Linked DNA regions of Caenorhabditis elegans. The gene in region 1 interacts genetically with each later gene. Each region holds a gene or a part of one and is shown on either strand. Other genes may lie near its edges.

The links.
Region 2: of tap-1 (region 1) and mom-4, changing one enhances a phenotype caused by changing the other (phenotypic enhancement), as found in Caenorhabditis elegans (one study listed by BioGRID).

Annotation. Positions count from the first base shown.
Region 1 is NC_003284.9:14,584,778-14,594,206, forward strand, and holds tap-1 (TGF-beta-activated kinase 1 and MAP3K7-binding protein 1), read left to right. Parts: upstream 1-4,846; 5' UTR 4,847-4,880; coding exon 4,881-5,017; intron 5,018-5,377; coding exon 5,378-5,513; intron 5,514-5,557; coding exon 5,558-5,701; intron 5,702-5,745; coding exon 5,746-5,822; intron 5,823-5,875; coding exon 5,876-5,984; intron 5,985-6,028; coding exon 6,029-6,154; intron 6,155-6,327; coding exon 6,328-6,413; intron 6,414-6,508; coding exon 6,509-6,605; intron 6,606-6,758; coding exon 6,759-7,007; 3' UTR 7,008-7,044; downstream 7,045-9,429. Other genes in the region: bltp-3B (Chorein N-terminal domain-containing protein), read right to left, coding at 431-535, 585-851, 1,051-1,128, 1,172-1,512, 1,678-1,875, 1,925-2,242, 2,762-2,897, 3,101-3,211 and 5 more. UniProt on the Caenorhabditis elegans protein: Involved in the Wnt signaling pathway by regulating mom-4 kinase activity.
Region 2 is NC_003279.8:9,895,218-9,907,438, forward strand, and holds mom-4 (Mitogen-activated protein kinase kinase kinase mom-4), read right to left. Parts: upstream 5,601-12,221; 5' UTR 5,383-5,600; coding exon 5,314-5,382; intron 5,156-5,313; coding exon 4,989-5,155; intron 4,886-4,988; coding exon 4,787-4,885; intron 4,742-4,786; coding exon 4,662-4,741; intron 4,245-4,661; coding exon 4,118-4,244; intron 3,505-4,117; coding exon 3,123-3,504; intron 2,780-3,122; coding exon 2,561-2,779; intron 2,512-2,560; coding exon 2,408-2,511; intron 1,720-2,407; coding exon 1,608-1,719; intron 1,557-1,607; coding exon 1,441-1,556; intron 901-1,440; coding exon 765-900; 3' UTR 461-764; downstream 1-460. Other genes in the region: col-64 (Nematode cuticle collagen N-terminal domain-containing protein), read right to left, coding at 236-379; lsl-1 (C2H2-type domain-containing protein), read left to right, coding at 6,062-6,127, 6,175-6,259, 6,307-6,547, 6,784-7,050, 7,214-7,322, 7,373-7,471, 7,520-7,609; Zinc finger protein ztf-11, read right to left, coding at 9,179-9,526, 9,882-9,960, 10,011-10,305, 10,515-10,634, 10,903-11,116, 11,929-12,153. UniProt on the Caenorhabditis elegans protein: Part of the Wnt signaling pathway essential for the specification of the mesodermal cell fate in early embryos. Stimulates the wrm-1/lit-1-dependent phosphorylation of pop-1 and plays a role in the initial nuclear accumulation of wrm-1.

The DNA.
Region 1 (9,429 bases):
AAAATTTTTTATTAATGTCAAAAGTTACAATTACTTAGTTTTTGTCGCTCATCATTTTGGAAGTCGACCAAAAAAAATTGTTTTCTACATTTTTTATACTGTAATTTTGTTTTAATTATTAGTATTAAAACATTGTAGGGGTGCGACATTGCTTTGGAATTCCTCAAAAACTTTTAAAAACATTTTGGCAATTTGCCCAAACTTTGACCGGAAATTATGAAAAATCTCAAATTTTTTGGAGTTTTTATTAAGATATTCGGTCGTTTTAGATTGTTATAGGTGTATTTGGACAAAATACCCACTGGCGCTACTCTACCTTTGAAGGGATATGGTTAAGGGACAAAATATACCTTAAAACAGAAAATACAATAATATATGTTACAAAAGTTAACAGTTTCGAACATCCTAACATATTTTTTTGCGTACGTACCTGCAGAAACTGGTAATGGTCGACCACTACGGCAACATCCTCTGCTGGCTCCACCAAGACATTCACTTTATCTTTATCAATTGCCAAAATGCCATTAAATGACACCTATAAAATTGAATATTTTAATTTAATATGTATAACATAAAACACTAACATCGTGCAAAAACGGAAATCCTTTGGTCTGTGGTCCATGATCAATTTCAATCCAAACTGGTGATGTGCAAATATGAAATTTGTTGAGTCCATTTATCAATTGATTTTTCACATCACTATGCTCATCTGTGCTCTCAGACAGAATGCGGAATCTGCTGTTCTCTTTGAAGTCGATTTGACTTGATGAGATAGAGAGTGTTGACATAGACGTAACAAGTCTTCGAGGGAAGTTGAAATCTGTGAATGGTCCTGGCAGGTTAAGGACAAGCTGAAAAAAAAAGGAATTTGAAAGAAAAGTGTAAATAATTAATTTTGTGTTTTGAAATTAATATAATATATAATAAAGACCTAGTTCTAAATATGCCAACTATTTTTTTGAAAAAGTTTTGAAACTTGGGACACAGTGAACATCAATGTAGCATTCTCATTGACCACGAAAAATAATAATTAAGCTACACTTCACTCACCCTTGGCATTACCAAATTGACTTTGATAGTTGGTGGTTGAATGTCCAGCTCATTTTCAGGAATAAGATTTCCGTCTTCCTGAAATTAAAGCAAATTCTCCCCTTCACCCTTGGAAACTTACAATAGCTGATGAAAGAGCATGAGCAACATAACAGCACCATCTCATCGTTCGTTCGTCAAACGAAATCGTGAATGGACCAAGTTGGAAGTACACAGCAGAGTTTGGAACCGGAAGCTTGTCCGAGTGTGGGTGGTAAAACGCGCCAAACTCCACGTGCACAATTTGCTGGTCAGACGGTAGTGAGTGAAGGTGTCGTTCACTTTCGAACAAGTTTGTCAACGCGTCCTTCTTTGTGTTCATATCAGAAACACATTGAATTGTCAAGTCATGAACTCGTAGAACCACAAAGAATCCTATTAGTTGGGGCCAGCAACGTTCTAGTCTTGTCCGGGTTGTTTGACCTGTAATATTGAAATTACACAAAATTATTTGTAAGTTACTGACGTATTTGTTTGGTGCAAAAATGAAACTGATTTTAACTGTTTTCAATTCATAAAGAACGAACAATTTATAGATTCTAGATGTAAGTTCACTTCTAAAGAATTCTGCGAATTGACATTTTTTACCTTCAGCATTTCCTAGAAGTGTAAGAAATTGCTCCGACAAATGATTTCGGAACCAAGCAGCAATTGGGTTTGTATTTGAATATCTCATCCACGTGGATCTATCTGATTGAGCATGAGCTTTTGGGTAGACGTCGATGAGAACTTGATATAGAGTAACTTGCATAGCACCGCTTTCAATATCCCAATCTGGTGGGTAATCTAAATTTTAATTTGTATAGTGCAACTATCATTCTTTGATAAAGTTTACCACTGGCTGTATGAGCATCATCACATAAATGTAGGTCAATTTTCTTGACATGGAGATGATATGAAGTTTGGTCAAAATAGAAAATATTGTACGCAGAGGAAATTGTGCTCGCGTCGGCCGTCGCACTGTTGCCGGCGGCTTTCATAAACGGATTATCGTTCCCGCTGCTTGTGGTTATCACATCGTTTTTCTGAGACTCTTTGACAAGTTTGGCAATGTAACTGGCAAATGAGATTGCTGAGCGGAGTTGGGGAAGTGTGGCGACCCAGAGAATGTCGTCGAGGATTGTTTGAATTCTAGCGTGGATTACCGAGCCGTCTGGAAAAGATTAAAATAGAAAGGGTTTAAAGCTTGAAAAGATATAGTCTAAAATAGTTCGATCAGAGGAGACAAAGTTGAATATTCTTGAAACTTTAATTCTTTAAATGAATTTGAAGGTGGCCCACGGCTAGTGGAAAAATGGTTTAAAACTATTCCTATAGGGCTACAACTACCAAATATCAATGAAACTTTTCAGAAGCTTCTGGAAATTTTCTTAATGATATTTAGTAATTTTAGCATTACAGGAATGGGATTTAGTTATTTTTCCATTGGCCGTAGTCCACTTTTAATTGAACATCAATTTCATTGAAAAAAATGAATTCGTAAATTTTCTATCTACTTTTTTTTTACAAAATTTTTCCTCAAAATCCAGAATATGCTCTTATATACACACATAAAAAAATTCCCATGATTTTATGGGCAATAAAAGTTCCAAAACTGCATTTAAAACTCGGCATACGATTCAATTTTATTCCACTTTTTTTTGTATTCTCTGCTTTACCAACAAAAACTCACCATTTACATTCTTTTTCAATGCAATTCGAATTTTTCCGCCACTCGTGATCAATCGTAATGGAGCATTGATTTTGGATCGCTGCTCATTTTTCGAAGTTTTCGCTGAGGCTTCAATGCGAAGGAGATGCCAGGAAAGCTGTAAGTTGGAGGTTTTATTTTAAGCCTATTTTAACAATTTGAATATCAGATGTTTTTTTGAAAATTTTAAAAATCCAACTATGTATTTTTCCTGAATATTTTTTTTCTAATCACATTTTTTAAGATTCATCTTTGATGAGATATTTTTAGATTTATAATTATTCAAATTGATTCTAGAAATGTTTCTTTTTAAAAATTCACCTGCTTAAACATCAATGTTCTATTTGTCTCCGAGCACGTAATTCTAGTCTGACGCAAGTCTTTCACTTGAGCCCATCCTGGACTTCTGCTCTCCACTGACAATCGTTGAAGCTGAAAAATTTCATTAATTAAAACATTTTCCGGCTGAGCAAACACAAACCATAAATGAGCCTCCGAATACGTCGGAATCAAAGTTAATTTCTACAGAACTTATATACAAAGACATGTTTTCGATGATTTTGTTCATGAAGCCGTATGAACTGCTGTCACCGAGATTTCTGCAAAAACGTGAAGGGTTTAATTTCGAAAATGGTAGAACTATGCTTACCCAAGTGGATTTGATTTTGCCTGTTTTTTATGCTCATTGGTAAGCTCCACATCCACATTGATTTCATCAATGAACTGAAATTATTTTTACGATTATAAAAGCATGAATTTGAATGAAAAAGGAGTTTATGTGAGACTATGACACTTTTCAAAATATTTATAACTTTTTTTTTACAAAATAGAAAACGTTATCAAAAATGCAACATTTGGCAGATTTAATTTGTCTGATATAATTATTCAAAATACGAGAATAAATTTGTCTACTTCAATTTCTAATTCAAAAAAAAGAAAACAACCTACAATCTGAATTGGGCAAGTTTTCAATTTGGTCCATGGTACATTCACAGCTACACCTGTACAGAATGCTCGTTTGATTTTCAACCACGAAGGAAGCTCCTGAAATTTTGAGTTTATGCAAGGAAAGCATGTACATTTAAAACTCACCAAAATCTCTGTCAAAACATCTTCGTTAATTTCAATAAACTGAAGTTTACTATTTCCTTTTAACACGTCTAAGGATATCTGCTCGGGCTTCAAGTTTTTTGTGAATCTGAAAAAAAGTGAATTTTTTGAGGGTGCAAACTTGATTAAATTCCATAGTAAAACTTTTCAAAAAAAATTTGAAATTTTATACTTATTGTCACAAGTAGCAATTACCAAGATATTTTTGGTTTTTTTAAGCGATTTGGAGCATATTTTGGCAAAATTCCCAGTGGCGTTACAAAAATTTTAACATCCATTTTATCAACTAAACAAGGAGGGTATTATTTGAGAAAAAATATGTTTGACGTTGTCATCGATTTTTAATATTTTTCAATACACTCAAAAATTAACTTACTTGGATAAATGTTTGACTAGCTGGTTTTTGATTATTGACGTCATCTTCGGTGTACAATTCTGCAAAAAAAATCGATTTTCAGGTGCGAACTACAAAAAACTACATAAATACACAGAAAATCATCAATAGAACATATTGAATCAAAAACAATGTGCTCATTATTTATGCGAAAATGCATTAATTGTCCAAATTGCGACTATCGGTTTTTGCCAATGGAGCGCGTTTGGCACACGCGGCGGTGTATGCTTGGGAGGGTGCGTGCGCGCGTCGGCATGCCAATTCTCTCAACGTGTTTGTGCTTGGCTAGCCATTGCTGCTTTTTGATAAGAATAGAAACGCGTTTTGGCGTGAGAAAAAAGACCGGATATAGATTTTGAAGATTAGAATTAGAATTTTTCCCTTTTTTTAAATTGTATTTCAATATAAAAATATAATTTGATTAGAATTTTTTGTTGTTGCTCATTGAACGTTTATATAATAAAAAAGAAAGTAGAAGTAGTCAATCAACAAATTTGTTTATCGTTTGTATTAATCGTTTTCTCTGTCATTATTTCTCTAACTCATCGTGAATTTGATTGTAGATAAGCAGGAGAGCAGTCGCAGAGCACAGGCAAAATGGGGGACGACGGGTTCCTCGATCAATACCCTGCCAACACCGATGCGGGCATTGGCACTGTGCACAGCTGCCGCTACTCAAAACAAAAAAATCCGGTGCAGAACAACGATTTTTTATCGTGCTCCATGTGCATACAGTGAGTTTATTCTACTTTTTTTGTTGCAAAATGAAACATAAACCGATCTTAATTAGGAAAAAAGTCAAATTTTACAGCAATTCAGTGGAAAATAAACTGAACGATTACGTGGGAAAATGCAATTTTTACACTTTCCTTGTCTAGTAACACAATGAACAAAAAATGAAAAGAGAAAGTTTTGGAACGATACATTGAAGGTGTTAAATACAATTTGTTTGCAAGGAAGTAAATGTCACAAGTACATCAATTAAAAAATAAAACTATATTTATCGTAATTTTTTGTTAAAACATGAAAGATCATGTAGACACAGATTAGTAGATTACATTAATAGTAAAAGTTAACAAATTTTCATTTTTCAGCAATGGACCCATCAAACTCTACGGTATTTTTTCCGGATTTAATGGTGGCGATTCAACAGCGAAGTTTGTCATGAACAGATTGGTATATGAGATTTTTGGAGAAAATCCAATTACACCAACACTACTCCCTTATCAAGTGATTTAACAATCAAATTTTCAACTCTACAACTACATTTTCAGGTGGTGGAAGAATTTAAACGGAAATTTGAAAACGTTGCCGAGCGTTATTTGTTGATGAACACCGATGATTTGAACAATCGACTGTTAAAGTTGGAGGAACAGTCGGAAACTGGAAATAATGCAGTATCGGAAATCAATCAAAAAGTTAGACTAAATTTTGAAATTATTATAATCTCCCAAATTTTCAGATTCGCCAAGGTACCACTGCCATAGTAGTCATGATCATTAACCAGGACCTATATGTGCTAAATTGCGGAAACTCTCTGTAAGATTTTTGAAACTGTTTGTTAGGAATTTTTGAAAAAAAAAAACTTTCAGCGCAATTGCTATGAACAGTGAGAACGTAGTGCAGCTCAACTCAAATCTACACAATAATGACAATCCTTTGGAGATTGTACGAATAAAAGGGCTAGGGATTAATCCGGAGGTAATTAATTTTTTTTGTAATAATTTTACAAAATAAGTTTACAGACAGTTCTGAATCCAACTAGAGCGATCGGTGACTTACAACGAACCCACCTGTTTGAAGAGACGGAAGCTTTCAAGAATGCAAAAGGACCACCGGTTATTTCTACTCCAGATGTTCAGTATACAAAGGTTTGCTATGATGAAATGTTGTTCTGGAACATTTTACGAAAAACAAGATAAAAGATCAAATTCAATGAAAATATTAGTCACAACACCTCAGATTTGATTACAAAATGAGAACATGTTTTCTTTTCTTTTTTTAAATGCTTATTTTCCAACCAACAGGTAACTTCTACTTTTAGATCGACCCATCCTGGAGACATTTGGTTCTGATCTCCGACGGTGTAGTTCAGAATCTTAAGGAAGTTGAAGTTGAAAACATCCCAACGTAAGTAGCAAACTTATGGAACTTTTTCGTCAATAACCAAGTCACACGTTTATAAAAATAAAAAATAAAATTTTCATCGATTCCCCAGTTTTCAGAGAAGTATCCGTTCGACTAATTGAAGATCACACAGTTACAAGTACAGCGCAGGCATTGGTAGACTCGTTTGCAAGAAAGCATCGCGATGCTTACACGGTTTGTTGGATTTACCCTTTTTTAGATAAGCAAATTTGAATACAATTTACAAAATTTTACCTATTTCTTCTCAATTCAATTAAATTTGTTCAAACATTGGGCGGATGTATTTTGCTATTCCACATTGCCATATTATTTTTATTTTATTTTCAGATGAGCGACGATAAAAATTTCTGTATCAGTAATCACAGAGAGGAAATGACTGTGATTTATGTGAAGCTCGAGGAAGATTACCAAGCGGCTCTTTACGAACAATTCGATTCAGCGATTTCGACAATGGAATCTACAAATGCAACATTGTATGAGCCCTGCTCGACACCATATGTCGATGCTACCAACTTCAATTCTGGAAAAAATTATGAAAAGATGAAGAAACTACTTCTAACTCGACCTTCAAAATAAATATTGTTGCTAGTAAATATAAATATTTGTTATCATGTATTATGTGTTATTTTTGCGGGGAGTATGATTATGATGCTTTCATTACAAATGTAACGTTATATGTGCCTATGTGGTGCCATGTGCCAGGATGTCCCATCACGGATTGATCTAGAAAAATAGCGGGATTTTTTCGCCCAAAAAAAATGCGACGTCAGCGCGTTCTTAACCATACGAAATCAGTGGAGAACTCTGCGTCCCCTTCTCCCGCATTTTTTGTATTATTGATCTACGTAGATCAAACCAAAATGAGTAACTCTGACACCACTTGTGTGCCCTGTTCGACACCTTACGTGGAAGCTACCAATCTCAACTCTGGGAACAATTTTGAAAAGATCAAGAAACATTTTTCAAGTCGACCGTCAAAATAATTTCTATTGTTGCTACTACATAGATCTAAACTTTTCTTTTCCTATTTCTTTGTTTTATTTTGAAAAAAAAATCTCTGACGAGAGATGCGGGGGAGGAGTTGCTTGAGCTGGTGTGAGATCAAATTTCTTGAATTTCACATCAACGCTTTTGTCCTGATTTTGAGACTAGATTTTTCCGTATTGGTCTTTTTCTGCATTTCAAAAAACAAGACGCAAATTCTGTTACATAATTTACCTTTTTCAACAATCGGTCGTTATCGTGAATTTGAAATGATCTGAAACGCTTATTTAGAGGCACACAGATTTGTAGGTTTTGTTGCAAGGAAAGCTTATGTCATCGCTTTTTGATCTTGACAAATGTCGTTTTTATCAGTTTAGTTTTTCAGAGAAAAAAGTTAGGATTTACACATATAACTGGGAGCCAAAAAAATTTTTTTTTTTAATCCCGCATACCTAAAATAGTCCCAAATGTTCGGAAAACATAATAAAAACATTGAAAAATTTGGATTTTTGGAGGTTTTCACTCAAAAATTCGGTGACAACTTTTGAAATGTTCGTCGAAAAGATTGGTTGCCAATTTTTGATTGTATAGAAATTTAAAAAATTCTTTATATCTACACACTCACGTGGCGCCAGAATGTCCCGCTTCGGTTTGATCTACGTAGATCAACAAAAATGCGGCGGTTGAGATACAGAGTTCTCAATCTTTCTGTGCGAAAAAATCCCGCTTTTTTTGTATTTCAAACCGTATTGGTACAGCCTGACACCACTTGCGCACTATAAGGAGCGGTTTTAGATGTAATGCTTTGAAATTGCAAGACAACATGCTGAGTGCAATCAGTTTGGTTTTTTAAATTTGTACAGAGTAGGCGTCTTGTCAAACTGTTTTTATCTATTTAAACTATTGATGTTTTGAACTTCTAGATTTCCATTTGCATATATTAAAACGGATATGTTAAAATTTGCATCTTACGTTTTCTTTGGCTCTCTTAACCCACTATTACACTAATAATAATAATTTAATACGTTGGATACAAGCTATGGTTTTTTTTCTACTCACAAGCTGTTTTCAGATGCAAAAGCTAGTTTAACCCTATAATCTAAAACGAATGTTTCTAAGCGGCCCCATACGTTATTCGTCAAGTTGAACGACTCAATTGAAATATCCGGAGTAACATACAACGACGCGTAACTAGATTTTCTATCTCTCTCTTCCACACTTACTCTAACACAAAAAGAGAATTGACTTTATTTTTTGTTAACATCTCTCACAGCTTCTAGATAGATCTTATTTGCTCTCATAGTTTTTTTAAATTTTTATTTTATCATCCCCCACTTGACACTTAATAGTGTTCAGAAGTATTATAAAATTTTGCATGTTACGGTTTTTTCAGATATTTTTGTTCTCAGGGCTTCAAATATCAAGCTTCATCTAGAGCATACTGTATTGTGTCCTTCCAGAGCCATCAAAAATGTATAGATGGAAGGACCATATAATGTCGACATTCTCATAATTGGACTCTGATCATCTCTCAAGAATAAAGAGAATGCATCGTTGCTTCTGAATTTATTGTTTCCTCAATTTTCGGTGGTGGTAGAAATTCCAAATTCAGATATCCTTCACATTTTTTTTCTAATTTATTTATCGAAACGACATGTTGAAATGACTGAAGAATTTATTTGGGTTGCGCGCCAGAGACCTTCTCAGTATGAACCAACATTTTCATAAATTTGTGGTGTGCGGTGCTTATTAAAAAATGTGCACCAATCTGGTTCAAAATATGCTTAATAAACAGAGAAAACCTTATTAACCCCAAATAAAGGAGATAATCAATGACCACTTTATAAGAGAGCTGAGAGATACATAGATGATGAAATTTTTAGTCGAGAAACATCTTTTCATTTATTAACTCAATACTGGACTAGAAAGGTTGCCGGCTACTTGTGTATTACATAAATTCCTGCATTTTCGAACTAATTTTTGGTTATGAATAAAATACAAATGTATATACTTA
Region 2 (12,221 bases), on another chromosome or scaffold:
TTATGGAAAATATTGAGATTAGTTGCAAATTAAAGGGTAGTGAAAAATACTGTACTTTTTTAAGGCGCACAACCATTTTTTTCGCAGACTTACTTAAACATTTTTTGTCGCTTCGAGACTATGATAATCATTTAGCAATAAGTCAATCAATGTTTTTTAAATACTAAAAATATTTGCATCTTCTGGTGAAGCTTAAACATAAGCTTAAGCCTACTATCTGCAATTAGCCTCTCACCTTGAATTCATCCATTCCATCCATTGCACTCATGTGCATTTGTGCAACTTCATAAAATAAAGAAATAGTACATGTTAGCATTGGAATAAGAAAAGCTGCACAAATGACAGTAACACCAGAAGCCACATTGGTACCGTAACCCATTTCAGTAGACTGTCTCTTCACTGCCGTTCGTATCACTCTTTATATGCACGTTGGCATGGGTGATACGTTCAGATGTTGGATGTGTAGATAGATAATTCCACAAAACGTTTTCTTGTCATAAAATCGACAGTCATGTAATGATATCTAGACACTAAATACACAAATCTATAGATAATAACAATTACATTTAGAACTTCGGAAGGACAGACGGCAGCGACCAGCGTTTTAAAGAGGAGAGAGAAGTTTGACAGGAAAAGAGGGACTGAAAGAGAAAGTTGACAGGAAGTGATCAGAATTCAAATTGAACAAGAAGTGAGTATATAGATAAAAGTTATTTAGAGATGAGTATACATCTAAGAATGTTTTTAAAAAAAGTGAAATGAGTTCACATTCTTTCAGTTGAAAAGTAATTATCATCTTGGATGTCCCGATATCTTGCAATTTCTTGTTCCAGATAATATTTCCGTTCAAGAAGTTCTACCGTGTGATCGTGTTGAGGCCATTGGGCAATTAGCTCATGTCTGAAATTTTTAATTGTATTTTTCAATTGGACTTGAATTTGATTTAAGCAAAATTTCGGTCAGGATATTTAAAATTTTCACCGTTATTTTGGAAAATAAATAATCCATAATTTTTGTTACTTAAAACTTTTTAAAATTATAATTTTTCAAAAAAAAACACTTGAAATTGCACTTTTTGTTTTAGAAAAAAATTATTTCGCTTTTTCGATTTGAAATAAAAAATCGAAAAATATGTAATTTTTGTTATTCAATATTTAGATATTTTCAAAAAATTTAGATTTTTTGATATTTAAACTAGTTTTTTATTTTGATAATTTTTTATTTTATCAAATGAAAATGACATGTTTAATTGTTTTTTTTTCACAAACTTAACACAATTTGATGAAAAGCTGATATTTTCGTAAATTAAAATCTAAACACTTTTTCGATTTTTTTTTCGGAAAATGCAATGATACAAAATTTGAATTTTTCCTCTTTTCCAGAAATGCTTTTTATCTTAAAACAAATTTTTTACATTGAAACATAGCAATTTCAACTAACTTAGCTCTCATAACTTCTTTTTTAATGACCCAAGCATCTGCATATTGTTTATTATTATCACAGTGTTGATGAAAGATTTCCAAAGATTTTTCGTCACGAGTATCAGGATCAATAGGCTGAAAAATTGAATGTTATTATATTTAATTCAAATCTCATCGAAGGATTACTCTAGTCTCCTCATTCGAACAAATATTCATAAAAACGGCATGTTTTTCCTCATCGTTGCTATCTCTTCGGTGCTCAAAAGGAGGAGGAGGACGTGCGTCTCTATGTGGTTGCCTGAAAAAAAGAGATATTTCATAATACACCACGTCAATGGAAAAAATAAATGTCTACTTTTGTAGAAATACCCATCAAAGTGTTAGTTTTTTAATTTCTCTAAGAACCAAAGAAGCTAAAATTTAAAAAAATTATTTTATTTTTGGAAAATGCCAAATTTTAAATACTTTTCGGTCATATTTCTATTTTTAAAAGCAATTTTCGTATTTTCTCATCGAAATATGAATTTTTTGATAAATTAATAGTTTCATTTTTTAAATTGATATTTATTACACTTTTTTTCGTTTTTTCTATTATTAGAATTTCAGAAAAATCAAACAATGTTCGTTTTTAAATTTTTTGACTTTCTCTGAAAAAATTGAAAAATCGATGTTTGAAAAATAGCTTCAAATTTTGGTAATTTTTCTTTTCTATAAAGAAAATTACATGCTTTCTTTGTTTTTTTCATAAAAACAAGTTTTTAAACATTTAATCCTTTAGTTAATTTTCTAAACGTTTTTTTCGGTTTTTGCGAGAAAATAGAAAGACAACAATTTTTTCAATTTTTTTTAATTTCGTCTGAAAAATAATCGAAAATGTTTTTTTCAATTATTCTAGTCTAAATTTGCATGTCTTTAGATATTTAGTTTCTTATCCGAAAAACCCCAAAAACAGGACAGTCCTCATCTCCATTTCCATTAATTCCTACCTTTGCTCGCTTTTGGCTCTATCCCGAAAATTTTTAGCTTCACTTTGAGATTTTGGTATTCTAGATGCACCAGCTTCACCCGGAACCGTTGGATACGGTAGATCCTAAAATTTCAATTTTCTGTTTTTCAAGCTATCCAAATGAAAATCTTACCGGTTGCACTACAAAAGTCTCACTACGATTTCTTCTATGACCCTGTCCAGGTTGTTGAGGATTTAAAAGTTTTGAAGCAGTTGGTGTTCGATTATTTGATCCTATTCCACTTCCAGAAGAAGTTCCAAGCATTGTTGGTCGATGAGCATGTGGTGGAGGAGTTTCTGCTGGTCCATTTGTTGAAGAATCCGATAAAGGTACGCTCCCATTCGGATATTCCTTTAATGCAAAAAAAATTAGTTTTTTTGGAGTTTGGCGAGATTCATATGTTTCATAGAAAAGCAGGTCTTATCACGAATACAGTAATTCTCAGATAAAATTAAAAATTGTGTTGGAATAACACAATTTTTAAAATTTAAAAACTTTAAAATAAATTCAATAAATACTTTAATTTCTTCGCAATAAAAAATTCGAAAACAAAAAATTTAATTTGCTTTGCAGCACCTTCTTTCGAGATTGTCCAAAAATTTTAATTTTGTATTTTTAGAAATATTTGTTCAATTCAAAAAAATTGTTTTTAACTGGTTGAGTATTTAATTTTTAATTTTTTAAAAGAACTTACATCTTTTAGAAGAGTAAAATATTCTACACATTCGGAAGAAGTCGGTCGAATATCAGCATTATCATTCCAACATTTCTTATAAAATTCAGACAAAATAGGATTACATTCGAGTTCTTGTGGACGTAAGTTAGCTGTCGCAACATTATATAAAAGTCCAGGAACTGAGAGATCTCTTCGATACGGATGATTTCTAGCAATAATTTGCCACATTATAATTCCAATACTGTAGATGTCAGATTTCATATTATACTGTTCACATCGAAATACTTCTGGAGCCATTGTGATTGGAGTTCCACGATTTGAAGTCATTGATTGATGCATTGAGGTAAATGTTCCAAAATCACATAATTTCATTGTTCGATATCGATCAGAGAGAAGCATGCTGAAATTATTTTGATTGACCACAGTAGGTGATTTAATTTTAATTTTGAAAACTGACCGCTAAAGATTTCTGATAATTTATTGAAATTTGAAAAGCTACAAAAATTAAGAAATTCCTCATTTTTACTTTTAAAATGGCTTTTTAAAATTATTTTCATATGATTAGTTCTTCTTGGAGGATATTTTTAAATCCACTTTGAAATATTATTTTTTAAAAATGATTTTTTTTAGATTTTACACATTATTTTGTGGACCAATTTTCAAGGAACTTTTTGCTTAAAAAAATAAAAAAAATAGCTCACACAAAAATGTAGAACCCTTTAAAATTAATTTTTCGAATGTCTAAAAATGGATTCGAAACATTTCTGCTTTTCTGTACTAAATTCACTTAAAATTTCAAAAGATTTTGTTGAATTTTTCTAAAATCTAAATTGTTAAATTGACAGGATCTCCGCCATTAATTCTTTCAACTTTTAAAAAATTTACCTAATATATTAGCTAATAGTAAAGAAAAAAATTTCAATATTTTTCTGTTAATTTTCAAAAATCACTGAAAACATCTTCACATCCAACATATATATTTCTTTCAATAATTTCTGCTATCAAAAACTCACTTTTGAAGTTTCAAATCTCTGTGAACTTGGCTGTTGGAATGGAAAAAATCGACGGCGGATGATAGTTGAAACATCCATGAAGCCACATGATCAATTGTATAATTAATGTGTGTTCTGTCGTAGAGTACTGAAAAAAAAATAGATTTTTCAGCTAAATTTTATTTTGGAGAATTGCCTCATTGAAATGAATTTTTAATTTCGTAAAAAACAGGGTTTGGAGAATTTAAAGCGATTTTTTTAAGACTAAAAATGGAAAAAAAAAACCAAATAGCATTTTTTTTGTTCAAAATTATAGTGAAATTTTTTTTGCCAGATTTTTCGTGTTACAGCGTCCATATATTGATTTTTATTCAGTTTCTTCCATATTTTGCAGTATAATCCGCTTTTTTGATGTATTTTAATATATTTTTAGCTGATAGAAATTTCTGTTCCTATTGCCGAAAAAATGTAGTTTAATTCGCTAAGAAACACGGAATAAACCGACAAAATGTTAAAAAATTTGGCGAAATCGGGGATTTTCACTAAATTTAAATGAAAATCTCACAATCGGCCATGCTTCCACAATCCATATATTCCATAACGACTCCTTGCCCATTCCGAGGGCTTTTGTACAGTCCATAAATTCTGAAAAACTTCTATTTTCAGTATTTTCCATTTATAAAAACATACTTTATAATATTAGGATGATTTCTGAGATCCCACATAACTTTTGCTTCTCTTATAAGAGTTGCCATATGAAGTTGAGAAGAATATTTGATTGCTGCTGGCCTGAAAATAATATTTTGGTGATTTTATTGATTTTTTGTTAACTTTTGATAATTCCTCATGCTTTAAAAGAATTAAATTTAAATTTTTGAAGCTAGAAACGAACCTAAAGTCATCCTGCCTAGTTTTTCTATATCTTGTTTTCTCAACCAATCCATAAGTGCCTTTTCCGAGATAATGACTATTTAAATTATCAATACATTGTGCTTGAATTTCGGGAATATCAATTGTTGAGCACAATCCGGAATCTCGTGTTGTTCGTTGTGTTGGTGTCTGAATTTATTAATTTATTGAGTTTTCAGTGATTTTTATTGATAGTTTTGGTAAAAGCAGGCTTTATACGTCTTCAACTGATTTTTTTAAAAATTAAATACAATACTGTTTTTACAAGAAAACGTTATTTTTCTTTACTCAAAATCCATTAAACTTACAATTGCGGCAGGACTTGGCGAATGACTGGACGAACTACTAGACGGTTTGCTCTGTGACGAATTGTCCATTTCAGAGCCGAAACGGTGAAAAAAATGGTGATGGGCGGCAAAGGACAGGAACTGGCATGTGTTGTGTGTGTATACTCTTTCTCTCGCTCAGTGGAAACGATATAGTGCACAAGTAGAAGAAACTGCAGACGAATAACAAAATAGACCAACGGGACACAGACAGATTTCCGATTTAGACAAGGAAGAATGATGATTTTAAAGAAGTTACTGTAGCATGGCTGAAAATTGTTTTGATAAATACATAAAATTCAATTGCGCAGGTTTTACAGAAAATTCAAAATAAAGAATAATTGAATGTTTTAAGTTCTGAAAAGTAAAGAAATTACACAACGGGGAAGAAGTATGGAAATTTATTCAAATTATATTTGTATAAAAAATACAAAGATCGAAAATGTTCTAATTTTCTGTTCTTCTGTTCTAAACTAATTTTGTTAAATATATAAATAATGTTTTCAGCTTAATTCGAAATTGCAGAAACAATTCTTTGTTGGGGACACTGTGCTCAAAGGCGCATGACGCAACGAAACTTTTGGGTCTCACCACGAAACTGTCAAACACGGTAATCCTAAAATTTAGAGAAGCTGTCAATTAATTTATGAGTTTTGTTTGTCTTAATTTTATGTTTAAACCAACAAATTGTCTGCATTTTTTCTTCAAAAAATTTTATTTTTTACTTCAGATGTCAATTATTGATGACCGAACGGATCCATCTTACGACGGCGAGGACTACGAAGCTTCTATAACGGTATTTTATTTCGATTCTTATTTTTAAGATTATTGAAATGTTTCTAGTTCGGAACCTATCAACAAGAAGAAGTCGCCCCGTTTGCTGTTCATCAGTGTAATGTGTGTAATAAAATGTTTATGAATTATAAAGGTTATTCGCATAAAAATAGAAAGCTGAAATAAAAAAAAACATTTCAGGTCTCCAACAGCACTCTGTGATTCATACCGACACCAAACCATACATCTGCGATGTTTGTGGCCGAGGATTCCGATACAAATCGAATATGTTCGAGCATCGTACCGTTCACACCGGCTATACCCCTTATGTGTGTCCATTTTGTGGAAAACAGTTCCGATTGAAAGGAAACATGAAAAAGCACATGCGAACTCATGTGACAAGCAAAGAAGAGTTGGAAGCTGCTTATAGACCATATTCGAGGTTGGCAATCGGTCGACCCTTCACCTTCACAAATAGTTCGTGGTACGTATATTATACATTGGACGTACAATAAATATGTTATTCACATTGCATTGCACGAATTTTAAGAACTTCGTCCATTATATTATGTGAATAATACATTTATTGTACGTCCACCGTATAATACACGAACCACGAATTATATGTGTTGTACGAGGGGAATTCTGATATCTATCTCGTCTTAAAAATGATTTCAGCAATCGGCGTTCGTCTGGAATTATTCCGTCCGATGCTCTAGTCATTCGTGGGACATCGATGCCCTATTACAATCCAGAGAAGAAGCGATCGGTTCCGAAACTTTTATTGGGTAAAGATCCTTCAAAATGGGTTGATATGATCTGCCGAAACCAGCTTATCCCACTATCTTCATTTGACGATAAAATCATGAGAGCTACAATGCGATTGACTAACTGTCACATGGCATCCGATGTTCTAGAACAAGCTAAACCACTCGAGTTTGAGATGTAAGTTTCAATTCAATTTGAAATTACAGTACTCTTTAAAGGCGCACGCCCTTTTGTATTTTACAAAAAAAGAAGACGTGAAAAGACCAGCGTTTGTATTTTTACCGCAAATTATTATAATTATTGTCTTACTAATATCCCATGCAAAATCTGAAAATTACAGCTTTCGATGCCCAATTTGCAAGTGCGAATGTAGTGGAAGAGAGGATTGTCAACTGCATATGTATGCTTCTCATGATAAGAAAGAAGCTGAAGAACCAAATTATTGCACGGTAAATAATTGAAAATTAAATCTTGAATATCCTGTAAACTTTATTTTCAGAAATGCATGAGAGTATTCGCCGACGTAGATATGTATCGTCAACACCAAAGCTATCATTCTCGTGTTCAATTGATGATTCGTAATAATGAACTTGAAATGGTGAGTTGTTAAATATTGCTAATTCTTAATTGTATTATTTTGTTTCAGGGCTCTCCAGAAGTCGATATCTCTCAAATCTGCTACAGTATGATCACTAACACTGAAAATGAGATGAACATTCTAAAACCATCAGCATAGTTTTTCCCCTGAATTTTCCCCACATCCCTGTCTTTCTAACGCCCGTGTAATTGTTTTGTTCTGTTGCACTTGTTCCTTTCATTTTTATGAAGTTTTCATTTTGAAAATATGAATGGAAGACAAAATACAACAAACGTTGGATGATGGCAAAGTTTTTTAAGGAAGGAAGTAAAAAAGAAGCATAAAGGAGTTGGGAAATTCACAATTAAAGCACAACCAAAGCAGGACAAGGTGAAGAAAAAGACAATTTGGGGGAATGTTTGAATGGTAAAGCTGTGATAATGAGAGAAGATGATTTCTGATTTTAAGACATTTAATACACAGGGTTGGGGATATCAATGATACTTCTTTTAATTTGGAAAAACAACCAATTTCAGATTCTAGAATATAAATTACATTTATGAGACACACGTTTTGAATATCCCTCTCGCGGGGGAACAAAAAAAGATTTGAGGGAATCGGGAACACACAGAGAAAGAGCAGATGTTTTCGGAGAAAGCCGGGAAAAAAAAGTATGAAGAAGTGAGAGACGCAGACGAAAAGCAGTGCAGGTGGCTCATTAAAGAGGTAAACGAGTTGAGGTGGTGCATATTGATACTTTAAGATTATATGTTTGACGGATTTGAAGGTGTTTTGAAAACTAGAAAGCGGGGAGTTTTTTGAATTTGAAATGGAAGAGAAAGAGGAGAAAACTAGGCCAGCATTTGCTTTGTGGATTTACGAGCGATTTAACTATTACGGGAGCACAATATTCTGAGAAAACATGTTTGACGTGCAAAATATTTCGTAGTGAAAACTACAGTAATTCTTTAAATGACTACTGTAGCTCTTATGTCGATTTCCGGGCTCGATTTTTCTTTCAATATTCGAAAAAAAAATAATTCAAAAAATCGAGCCCGTAAATCGACACAAGAGCTACAGTAGTCATTTTAAGAATTACTGCAGTTTTCGCTACGAGATATGTTGCGCGGCTCAGAATGTTGTAATCTCGTAATATATAAGTAGTTTCCAATGTTTCTTGCAAGTTTTAGCGTTAAAATTGCATCAATTTCAGAAAATAGCCTTAAGTACACATCGGAATATTATTTGCAAGTTTCATTTTTCAATTTCCTCTTCCATTTCAATATTCTTTAGCAAAAAAAAGGTCGAGTGAACAATAAATAAACTAATTGTAAGGACCGTTTCCCCCTAACATATTGTCCAATTCACTTGATTGAGTATTTCTAAGAAAGGTCAATGACCGAAAAGTAACTGGCAAACTCTCAACTACTGTCATTTTTGGTGCAAACGGTGCAATCTGGCGACATCTGCCACTTCTTAATACGGTCTCTCTCTCTCTTCGCTCCACGATGCTTGATTGATGATGACCACCGGGCTGCTGGTGCTGCCCGAGAGAGCACACAGATTTGAGAGGAGTAGAGATAAATCAGTTTGAAAGAATAGATTGAGGAGAGTGAGGGATAAAAGAAAAAACTATTTGAATAAAGAAGGAATGTATTGAGTTTCTGAACACAAATGTGAATCAATCGGTAATGTGAAAACTAGAAATAAATACGATTTTTTAAAAACTTAAAACCCTTGCTGCATTTGCAATTGTGTCAGCATGATTTGAGCAAGTAGAGCACTTTGATTTCCGAAAAGAGCCGCTTGTGGGGAATACTGAGGGAATGGCACTTGTGGGGCAGTCATTTTGAGAAGAGCCTCCGAGAATCCAGGCATTTGAAGGAGCATTTGAGATGTTGGGGAGCTCTTTTCCGCGGAGCCAGGAGCAACTGGAGCAGCAACAGGTCTTGATGGTGTTGATTGAATCTCTGGGATCACGGATGGAACAGGTGACTCGCATTTAACTTCTTCTTCTTCTTTAATAAGAGTTGGAATATCATCTGATGTTGTTTCAACGTCAACTTCCATCTCGTTCTGAAATAAATTACCGTTAAGATTAAAAGATAAAGTGACTTTGGTAAGTTTTTCAAATCTTCACAACTGCCCATTTCGGATCAAAAATTAATATAGAAAAATGGAAAAATATCTGATTGATTCGGAAATAATCTTCATTTTCTTGGGAAATTTGGAAACTGGAGGAAGTTGTCATTTACCAAAAAACTGTCTTAGAATTTTTTTTCGGTAAAGGACAGTTTGAGAAAGTTTTTCAGGTCTTTAAAGTAATTTTTATGAGCATTTTCCCAAAACTTTTAAATAAAATTATTTTCAGAGAGTACAAATATTCCTCAATTAAAAACTTCTCAGAATCAAATGTTATAAATTATTGTACCTCTTTCTTTGACTCCTCTTCCAATGTAGCAAGTGGTTGTGTTTGAGAGAATTGTTGGAAGAGAGCATCCATCATTTGACTGAAAATTCAATTTTATAGAAACTGTTTATTGAGAATGAAATAGAATACCTTGATGGAATGAGTCCTGCTTGTGCTGCAGCCAACAATTGCTGAGCTGACAATCCAGCTGGAAGTCCAGAAAGTGTCAAGTCAAGTGGACATTCATCAGAAATACTGATTCCCTTAATTGGAGTTTTCGTGCGTTGTGGTGTTGTCTTAATTCCCTTCCGTGCAAGCTTTTCCTGATGGGCAATTGGACAACCAGAGAGACTACGGTGAGATGTTCTATTTCCATTGACATGTCCCTTTCCAGAGCATCCGGCTGTGGTGCATCGGAGCACGGTGTCTTGTCGGAGAGCAAGCACTGCAAACGGGAAAAGTAAGTGAGTGAGTGGGAAAAGTCATCAATCTTTGGCTCTTGCTACTGCTACAAGTATTGGCTTCAAAGTAAGTATGAAATGCATGAGAGCTCATTTATCTTAAGCTCTTTTTACCAGATTAATGAGCTAGTTTACTTGTTGCTCCAAGTTCACAGCCAGCTAAGATTTATGTTTAGTTTCAATTTAAACTTACTTTGGATAACAGTCTTGTCTGGTCTACGTGGACATCCGGACAAACTTCTGTGATGAGTGTAGAGTCCTGTCTGATGTCCTGATCCATCACATCCAGGTGTTGGACAAGCCAGTTTGCCTTCTGAAAGTTGGGACTTAGTACCGCTCCAAATGGAATTTCATGTGATTCGGTGCGAGTGGAGTGGTAAGTGAGGGGATTAGTTTATTTTGTGGTTAGTGCACTCATTTTATCCCTCCCAAATGGATTATTATTTTTTGATATTCTTCGAAAGAAAACTCAGAATGGGGGAATTAGTGGTTAGTAAGTTGGGGTTAGAGATTGATTTTCAACTGAAATATCTTCAGAGGATTACTGTAGGGTCCCAACTTTCTGTTCAAAAAGTCCTTACCACGTCTGATGCTCCATGAGTAACCAGTACCAGGTGATGGAATTGATCCGTTTGGAGTAAATGCAACTGTTGGAGTTGTAGAGATTGAAAGTTCATCACTGATATTTGTATGTGTAATTGGAGACATAACTCGAGATTCTGATCCAGATGAGTGTGGTGGGCTTGAAGCAGTTAATGGAGTCTTTGGAGTATCCGACGATGTCATCATTGGGCTCTGAAAATCGTATTTTTTGGTAAAAAAGATATGAAACGAAGAAAAACAATAATAGTAATCCATCAAAGTTGGCAAGTCTCACTCTTTACTACTACTACTCCTAGTAAGAACAATCGGTGAGGCGGCAGTGTCATTGGTCACGCAATGTCATCCGTTGGGTTCTAAGGTGTTTTGTGTCTGTTTTGACATATAATTAAAGTTGGAAGCCCTTGCGTGACCAGCAACTTGTTATTTCAAGTCATTGCTACCAACTAGGTGGTCCGAGGAGTTGTAAGAAATTTGATCTACCGTACTCGCTTTAACAATTGAATTTAATAGAGTTTCCAAAAGTTCCGTGAATTTTCCTGAGAACTTTCCTAAATCTTATAGAAAATTCCAGAAGTTTTCCTAATTTTCTAAAATCTCCAGAAGATTTTTGAACCTCCTAGAACTTTTCAAACGTTTCTCCAGCTTTTCTTTCTGAAACCTTTCGAAACAGTTTCGACTTTTCAAAGTTGCTCGGTTCTTCCAAGACCTTCCAGATGATTTTTAAAAATTTTTAAAAATTTTCCGGAACTTCCCAAAATTTCCTCGAAGACATGACCCTAATTTTCGTTAAGCTAGGCATTGCAAAACTACCAGTTTCCCTTGAAACTTCTCACTTAAATTTTCAAAATTTTGAAATAATTTCCCAAGTTGAGCTGCCATTCCCAATTTCAATATGTGTCAATGTGAGTTCATAAATATGCAACAAGTCACTTTTCTCTACCGTGTGCCCCCCATTCCCACTTCACTTCTTTTCACTCAAAATGCAAATTTCTTTGGCTTCTCACCTTTGACGACGACGTCTCCTCTGCTGTCACGACACCACCATCCAAAACTGAGTCGACATCGGAAGGTGATGTGTCAGAGTGTGTGGCGCTCATCATATTTCCTGATGTAAAAATTTCAAGCTGTTTTTGGAAGGATGGAGCCATAAATTGCGAGAAGAGGAACGACGGAACTCCTTCGAGGCCACTTGGAACTGATGAGGTGACGACATCTGCGGAGGTGGCGGTCTGAAAGTGAATGGAATGAATGAAGATGTTATCTCAAAGGATCTCAGACAGATGTACAGGCACATGTT